2 linked regions of the Neurospora crassa OR74A genome follow. The protein of the gene in region 1 interacts with the protein of each later gene in a pairwise test. Links are inferred from orthologs where the notes say so. Each region holds a gene or a part of one and is shown in the gene's direction. Other genes may lie near its edges.

Region 1 (4,408 bases):
CTCTGTGCCCAACCAGCCTGAGGACCCCATATCTTCCTGAAATGGTCGCCTACGGCCACATACATGGCCTTGTTGAGCGTCTTGGTCTTGGCAGACCCTTTCCCACCAAAATTGTAGTCTCTTTGCGCGATCTGCCAAACGTGCGTGTCGATGGGAACAGACTCGCCCCACCCGAGACCCATTAGACACACACAATCCGACACCTTGGGGCCAACACCCGGCAGAGTCAACAGAGCTTCATGAGCCTTCTGGTAGGTCGGTGGGTTGTCCAAGTCAGCCTTGGATTCAACAGACTCCTTCTCTTCTGCCCCTTCTTCCTTCTTCACTAAAATATCCTCCTCAGCCGCTCTCAACGCAGGAACACCCGGATTCCTCAACCTCAGCAACCACCTCTCCCCATAAACCTGCGCCACACACCCCGCCGTCTCAGCAATGTACTTGGCCCTATAACCAAAGCCCAGCTCCCTCAGATGGGCCTCGACCCCTTCCCCCGCCAACGCCTCCGGCCCGGGGAAATCATGAAACGCTTCTCCCTCCACGGTGGCCACATAAGGACCGTAGTGCGTACACAGCTTCAGCACCATCTGGCTGATGCGCGAAATGTTGTTGTTGCTGCTGCAGATGAAGGAGATCAGCGTCTCCCATGCGTCCTGGTTAAGGATGCGGATCCCCGTGAAAGCGGGCGCACGCCGGGCGAAGTTGGCATCTGAAAGAGACCATTGGGCGTAAAGGGTAGTGAGAGAGTGAGAGAGGGCAAAGTAGTTGTGGAGGAGGACGGACGTGTCGTCTTCGAAGTCCTGGGGGTGTTCATTTTTGGGAGTTGCTGTACTGGTAGGCCATGTCACTTTGTAGTGAAGATGGGTGGGATCTTGTTTTAGGGAGATGAGACGGCCTTTGAGGACGCAGTGCCTGGAAAACTGTTAGGACTTGATACTTTGAACAGAGAAGAAATAAAAAGAAAAAAAGTAAGATAGTGGTGTGCATTCGGACCATTGTTCATTTATCTTGCGCCATCTAAAGGACTGGCCGCATCGGAGTGTGGTTTCGATGCAGAGCTCTGTGAGACTGATAGGCAGTTTGCGCCATTCTGTCACTTTCTGGGATGCCATATCGTATTTATTAAAAACTCTTAGACTTTGCAGATAAGACAAAAAGGATATAAGGGTCTTCTATAGAGGCTTGATGTGAAATTCTTTGTCTCCATCCCTTATTATGCAGGTAGATTGATTATCACTTTTGTTTCTCATGGACCCAAAATCCCAACCCGGATTTGATGGGGGGCAATGCACTGGGGCTGCAAATGCCCTGCGGTGGTGGTTACCTATCTGCTGGAACTAAGGTACCTCTACAGGGGCAATTCCTCTTCAGTTGTTGCCACGCCATTGCAGGGCGTCAAACTTCCCGGTGTGGATGGGTCAGTGGAACCGAATCGCACGGAAACATAGCGCGCTAAGCCGAAAGAGGATCAAGCGCCCTCTGCAGTAACAACGGCTACTGGAAAAGTTGCAGCCTCGCGATCGACGAGACTCGCAATTGGAAGCTAGGTCAAGCAAAGCCACTTTCCTTTTCATCAAACACCCTCAGAACATTTTCCTGCTTCTTTGGTGCAACCATCTCGTATCACCTCTTTTATACTTAACGAGATTTGTGTTGACCATGAACGGGGACACCTATTCCTCCAGAGGTATGTTGGCACTGACCGTGGCTATCCGCTAGAACTCAACTTAACCGTGGCGAAACAGACAGCGGCCGACACGGTTCGTCTCGCGACTATCCGGTAAGTGTGCCTCGTATACAAACCTAACAGCGGTCTTTTCTGTGGGCCTAAGCTAACCTATTATCAGTCCTCGAGACGCGACCGCGATGACAGACGTGACCGTGGAGATCGCAGTGACCGAGGCAGTGGACGCAGACGCTCTCGCTCTCCCGCCGACTACCGGAGCAGCCGACCCCGTCGCGAAGACGGCGATTTTGACGCTTATTCATCGAGCCGCAGCCACCGCGACCGCGAGCGAGAAGATCGATACTCTGGCCGCGACCGTCGTGGACCCGATCGTGGTGATAGGGAGTGGGATCGTGACAGGGGCGCCGACCGTGGAGCCGACCGTGGAGCCGACCGTGGTGCGGATCGTGGCGCTGACCGCGGGGCCGAGCGTGGAGGTCGCAGCCGGAGGGACGATGACGAAGGCGGCCGTCGCCGGGACAGAGATCGTGACGTGATGGGAGATGATCGCCGCGGTGGAGGCAGAAGGGACCGAGAGGCGGACAGGGAGCGCAGGAGGAGTGTCTCGCCGCCCCCCAAAAAGAGGGAACCGACACCCGACTTGACCGATGTCGTTCCTGTTATAGAGCGCAAGAGGCGCATGACACAGTGGGATATCAAGCCTCCCGGATATGGCAACGTCACCGCGGAGCAGGCCAAGCTCTCGGGTATGTTCCCATTACCTGGCGCCCCGCGACAACAGGCCATGGACCCGACCAAGCTTCAGGCTTTCATGACCCAGCCAGGTGGAGCTGTCAACAGTGCTGCCCTTAAGCCTACGAACTCCCGCCAGAGCAAACGACTTATTGTCTCGAATATCCCACCGTCAGCCACCGACGAGAGCCTGTTGGGCTTTTTCAACCTTCAGCTCAATGGCCTAAATGTAATCGACAGCGCCGATCCTTGCGTCCAGTGCCAAATATCTCCCGATCACAGCTTCGCCATGCTTGAGTTTAGGAACAGCCCGGATGCTACAGTCGCTCTGGCCCTTGACGGTATCACCATGGAGGCCGAGGATGCCAATGGTGCTGCTGGTGCCGGTGGGCTCAAGATCCGTAGGCCGAAGGACTACATCGTACCCGCAATTGTCGAGGACCCCAACTACGACCCTGATTCAGAGGTGCCTTCCAGCATTGTCATCGACAGCCCTAACAAGATCAGCGTCACCAACATCCCTGCATATTTGAGCGAAGAGCAAATCATGGAGCTCCTGGTTGCCTTTGGCAAGCTCAAGTCCTTTGTGTTGGTTAAGGATAAGCATACGGAGGAGTCAAGGGTGAGCCTAATGGTCCTTTCTACCAACGAGCGCACATGCTAACATGTCCTAGGGTATCGCATTCTGCGAGTATCACGATTCTTCGGTCACATCTGTTGCTATTGACGGCCTCAACAACATGATGCTGGGCGATAGGGCGCTGAAGGTTCAAAAGGCCAGCTATGGCATTCAACAGGTAGCTGGAGAACTGAGTGTGAACGCCATGTCCATGCTTGCTGGTACCACTTCCTTGGATGGCGACGTCAGCAGGGTCGTGCAGCTCCTGAACATGGTTACAGCGGATGAGCTGATGGACAACGACGATTACGAAGGTTTGTTCAGCGTTTCTGTCACTACACATGTTCAAGATGCTAACGTGTGCTTTCAAGAAATTCGCGACGACGTCCAGGAAGAATGCGAGAAGTTCGGAACTATTGTTTCCCTAAAGATTCCCAGACCCACTGGCGGAAGCAGGCAGTCTGCTGGTGTTGGCAAGATTTTCATCAAATACGAGAATTCCGACCAAGCAACAAAGGCCCTCAAAGCTTTGGCGGGCAGGAAGTTTGCTGACCGCACGGTGGTTGCGACATACTTCCCTGAGGTTAGTTTCATCAGCTTTGCTCTGATTTGCTTCGCTCGTTTATACTGATAAATCCTACAGGAGAACTTTGATGTCAACGCCTGGTAAAAGACGATAGGCAGTAGGAGAAGGGATATGTTTGACTGTACTGAAAGGAAGAACAGTAGTCGTGCATGGTATAGCGTGATCTGTTGATTGACAACGAGGAAACAATCAGAACGTCATTAGTATCAAGGTTCGGTCATTTCCTCGAAGTTATCGTTGGGATCTCAGCGGCGTGTACAGAAGTTAATGGGATTTCAGCCGCGGTACAGTCAGGGCGCTCAAAAACAGAGGATACAACATCAATACACTCAGAAGTGTATTTTGATTACATGCCGAAGGTTTACAAATACATCATCGATCGGCACAAGGGAAGTTGCATTGGGATCACTTGTTTATCATTATCTTAGTCTAAATGTCCGGGGTCGCCAACCAACGCCCGCGACAATGAACTCAGTTTGCATGCCATGGCGACCGCACAGTCTCGAGCTTAAAAATTGGTACCTAGGTCTGAAGGAACGTTAGCCTGAGCACGACTCGAATTATGCAATAACAAGACGAGTGCGAAAGCTAAAGTTTCAGAAGTCCGTTTAATTCATCAAGTCCCAAAAAGGAACTTTAACATAAGAGGTACCAGAATAAAGTATAAAGTGTGTATCATCAGGATAAGGAGGCTCGGAAAAAAGGTAGAGGGAGCAGTGAGAAGCTTACCAAAGTGAATAGGATACCAGGTCGACCGTTATGATGCTAATTCCCGAAGTTTGACAGG
Region 2 (4,454 bases), about 3.2 Mb from region 1:
TGTAGCGTCGCTGTCAACGTATTCGCTCGAAATTCGGTTTGTCTCGAGGATATATCTGAGCTATCGAAGAAGTGTTGTCGATATAAAGCTGGAGGTCCGGTCAGGAAGGCGCAACGAACCGTGCCGTTCAGAACAGATGGCGTCACTGGTCGAGGGCGATTGGCGCTAGAGTAATCGAGTGGCTGCAGGTGCAGTGGCAGGGCAGCCAAAGTAATATTCAAATAATGGAACCTATAATAGGGTGTAGAGAGCGGGAGAAATCGCAGAAAGGTGTAGGTTAGAAGAGAGGGTGGGGGGGAGGAAACAAGGAAACCGAACCGGTCTCCTTGGAAGGTGTTACAGCAAAGGTACACAGAAGTTGGACCTGTGCTTCCGTGAGTAACTGGATGTTTGGGGGAAAAACAGAACGGAGACGAGAGACCGGAGATGAAGAGAGGGAATAAAAACAACAACAACAAAAAAAAACACTAGCGGACGGAGTGACGAGACTGAATGCTTTTGAGGATGGAAGCCGCGCAACCCCCAGCTGGGAAATGGCTAAAAAGGGTCCCACGCAGCTCAAGTGTGGAGGTGTCCAAGCCTCTTTCAGCTTGCTGCTCGTGCTGGTGCAAGCTGCTATTGTTGCTCTCCACGGCCTCTCCACGCAGCCTCCCAACACTCCTATTGGCCGCGTCCTGGCGTTCTGGAACTGGAGATGCCTGCCAGCCAGAACCTCCAGGGACACCCGTGGACATCCCGGGCGCTCTGTCTACACTACATAGTAGAGGTACCTACCCAGCTACCTACGTGTGGTGAGATGGCCAAGTAAAACCCGTGGGCCAGGTCGCTGACGATCGTTGACCATACCGCAGTGCCCTATACAAAACCACGAAGGGGCTTCGTTTGCCGAGCTACTTAGAGGTACCCTATGGTGGTGTGTGCGCGGTAGTTGACGAAGGGGTTCCATTTACTTTCGCTCGCAACCACAGTACGACCTTCTAAGGAGAGCTTCCATTCACGCTTTGCCTCGCAATTCACACTGCTTCGAATCGATATGGAGATGTGGTAGCCAGCCACCCAGCCAATTGGGAAACGACGGATCGAACGCTAGTAGGGACACAGTACGTCAGAAGGTCGAGCTCCGCTCCCATCGAATGAATGGCGGTCCACAAGCAATGGTACCGAAGTCTGAGCTTAAGGTGTGATCCTTGGAAGCGGCCTGGACGGCGGGTTGGGGCTGGGGGGAAGAGTGCAACACTCAAAATTTGGAGATGCGCTCCAAGACTCCCAGCTTGTCTCGCTTGCGTGGCTTCATTGTCGTGCACCTAGCTAGAACCTAGAGGCAGCCCAAGTGGCAATTAGCCCATATTATATACTCTCATTTCTCCTCTAGAATCACCAATATCCACGAGGTATTTTACCGGCAGTTGTGCCAGCTAGGTAAAGTGTTATAACATTGAGGTCTCGGCATTAATGGCCAAAATATGGGAGCTTAACAGCGGTGCTAACCCAGGCAAGAGCTTCCAGTCAGTAGAGGTATGTAATGAAGGGACCTACCTACCTACGTGCCCCGCAGATCCCAGTCCACTTATCGCTGCGCTTGCACTTGCCGGCTGAAATGTGCATGCTTTAGGCCGTGACTTGCTCCGAGTCAACAGGATCGCCAAAGCGATCACAGGGAACAGCGAAGCGCTGACAGGTCAGAGATAAAAGTTCGGCGGGCAAAAGGAAGAGGACAGAGATATAATGCGGACAAGTATTCTTTGTCTATTTCCACCAAAAGTGTGTGCTGCTGTAAAATCGTCCTCAAGATGCGTATGTCTGTTTCCGAGACCCCTTACCGGCCACAGAGTATCATCTCTAGGTATTACACCTCACCTCTATCGAATCCTGACGCCCCGAATCTGACGCCGACTTGATTCGGTCATCGCATCTACATCAAAGTTAATTTCAAGTATACAACCATGAACCCGCCGACAATCAAGGCTATCCAGTCTCTCGATTTGCTTCTTCAAGCAGATCACGCTCCGCACTCCATCACAGTTTGGATTCTGATTTCTTAATTCCAGCGTGCGATAATCCACGGCCATCTACGACCTTTACGCCTCAGGAGGCCACCGCATCGACAAATCGGCTGTTCACTAATAAACAGATCCCTGTCGCAAATCTCCCAACGCAGGGGTCTCGAAAGTGCCCGAGATAGACGAAGAATTCCCCTTTCTGGGTTGCCAACATGTGAACAAGGATAAAGCGACATCATCTCACCCAACGAAGGCCACCACTACAACGAACCTCACGCGACAATTGACAAATTATCTCCGGGCCTATCACCCGACTTGATATGAAAACTTTGAGACTGGCCTGCAACCAAGGGTCTGGCCACACAAAGACCATTCAGCCATCGTTGGGACCGTCAAGATCGGTGTTGGCTGTCCGGTAGCCAAAGTCCAAACAACTACAACACGACAAAACCGGGACACCGTCACAAAAAAAAAAAGAGGATTGGACGACACCCTCATCTCTGGTAGGCCACGTTCACCTATCTACCAAGTTAAAACACGCAAGAAGATTCAGCCGTGATGCACAGAAACGCAATCACTCCACGTGTGAGGTTGGACAAACGCTCACCAGTGGTTGCCCGCAACCGAGCCACGTCTCTTTAGTTTTCAGATTTCAACAGTACAATTTGCGCTCCCTGGATCAACAATCAGGCCTCGAGGATAACCGGAGATGGCAACTCCTTTTGACTGACTGTCATTGAGCTACTCGTCTGGTCGAAAAACGGGAAAGCAATTCATTTCCCACTGAGACTTGAGACTTAACACCTACGTATGTTCTTGACCGAATGCACAGGTGTGTCGTTGTTACAATGTTTCGTGTCCGGATCTTGTGTCATACCCACAATCTCCTACCCGCACCCGACGATAACGGATTGAGTGCTGGGCTCCATATATTTTCGTCGGGGTTTACTGGCTTTCGGTTCGCTGTGACTTGACTGACGACCGGCCCGGCCGTCCCGCGGAAGTATCGCCGATTTCAACAGCTGATGTCGTGTCTCGAGCTTGCCGGTCGCCGGGTCTGTTATATGATTCCGGCGCCGATGAGTTTCTCGAGGGCAACCGCTGATTGGGCAGAAACGTTGGATGACATCCGAGTATGCATGGTGATTTTACCTAGGCATTACTGCATGACGGGATTGCGCAGCAATCTAACGACGTCAAAGTAAATGTTTTGCGATATAGTTGTCCATGAATACTGTAGAGCGTAAACAGTGAAATTCGCGGATGACATATGCAGTATGCGACTTTTACGGCCACATTACCCGTAGCAACTTCTGGACGATGCCATGTGTTGTATGTTCGACAACCAGCCCCCATTTACTTGTCAGCCTCGCAGCCAAAGGCAACAACACTATTGGTCAAAAGCTTTAGTCAGCCACACCCATGTGGCGAAAGCTAGACGCGACTGAGGCGACGCGGCTGGGTTCAGTTTTCCACGACAGATTGATTTCATGTGCGACAACGCCGATTCTCAAATTCACCAACGTCGTAGCAACCAGGCGACCGGGACCATCCAGCATTTCTCGAAAACTGCGATTCGATCAACGATATTCTTCGAAAACTTTTTTTTCGCAAACGCAACCCAACGGTCTTGCTCACGAACGACGAACGAATACCCTCGACATTCATCAAACCGAGCAGACTTAACAAACCGACTCGACTTTTCGCCATCTCCCTCCTTCTGACAACGGACTATTGCATTGAGAGTTCTCCTAGCCTACCCATCACACAACCCATCAAATCCCCCATACGCAGCCTCGCCATCACAGCGAGATAAGAAAGAAAAAAAACAAGTCAACAAAATGGCCAACTTTCTCGCCTCCATCTTCGGCACTGAGCAAGACAAAGTCAACTGCTCGTTCTATTACAAGATCGGCGCCTGCCGCCACGGCGACCGGTGCTCCCGCAAACACGTCAAACCCAGCTACTCGCAAACGATCCTGATGCCGAACCTGTACCACAACCCCGCCTTCGACCCCAAGAACCGGATGAACGCGTCGCAGCTGCAGAACCACTTCGACGCCTTCTACGAGGACATCTGGTGCGAGATGTGCAAGTACGGCGAGCTGGAGGAGCTGGTGGTGTGCGACAACAACAACGACCACCTGATCGGCAACGTGTACGCGCGGTTCAAGTACGAGGACTCAGCCCAAAAAGCGTGCGACGATCTGAACTCTCGCTGGTACGCTGCTCGGCCGATTTATTGCGAACTCAGCCCCGTGACGGATTTCCGCGAGGCCTGCTGCCGTTTGAACTCTGGCGAGGGTTGTGTCCGTGGAGGGTTTTGTAACTTTATACACCGCAAGAACCCCAGCCCGGAGCTGGAGAGGGAGCTCGAGCTCAGCACCAAGAAGTGGCTCAAGATGAGACCGCGGAGCCGCAGCCCGACGCGCTCGCCCAGCCCGGAACCGACTA

Evidence for each region.
Region 2: the proteins of NCU03039 (region 1) and NCU03261 interact in a two-hybrid assay, tested with the Schizosaccharomyces pombe proteins (7 studies listed by BioGRID). The link is inferred for Neurospora crassa OR74A from reciprocal best matches to the Schizosaccharomyces pombe genes prp2 and uaf2.

The regions. Positions count from the first base shown.
Region 1 is NC_026501.1:8,349,078-8,353,485, forward strand, and holds NCU03039 (splicing factor u2af large subunit), read left to right. Parts: upstream 1-1,519; 5' UTR 1,520-1,656; coding exon 1,657-1,684; intron 1,685-1,742; coding exon 1,743-1,777; intron 1,778-1,844; coding exon 1,845-3,038; intron 3,039-3,090; coding exon 3,091-3,349; intron 3,350-3,406; coding exon 3,407-3,618; intron 3,619-3,678; coding exon 3,679-3,705; 3' UTR 3,706-4,375; downstream 4,376-4,408. Other genes in the region: NCU03040 (N-glycosylase/DNA lyase), read right to left, coding at 1-909, 991-1,109. UniProt on the Schizosaccharomyces pombe protein: Necessary for the splicing of pre-mRNA. The SF1-U2AF59-U2AF23 complex has a role in the recognition of the branch site (5'-UACUAAC-3'), the pyrimidine tract and the 3'-splice site at the 3'-end of introns.
Region 2 is NC_026501.1:5,112,766-5,117,219, reverse strand, and holds the start of NCU03261 (splicing factor U2AF 23 kDa subunit), read left to right. Parts: upstream 1-1,582; 5' UTR 1,583-3,841; coding exon 3,842-4,454.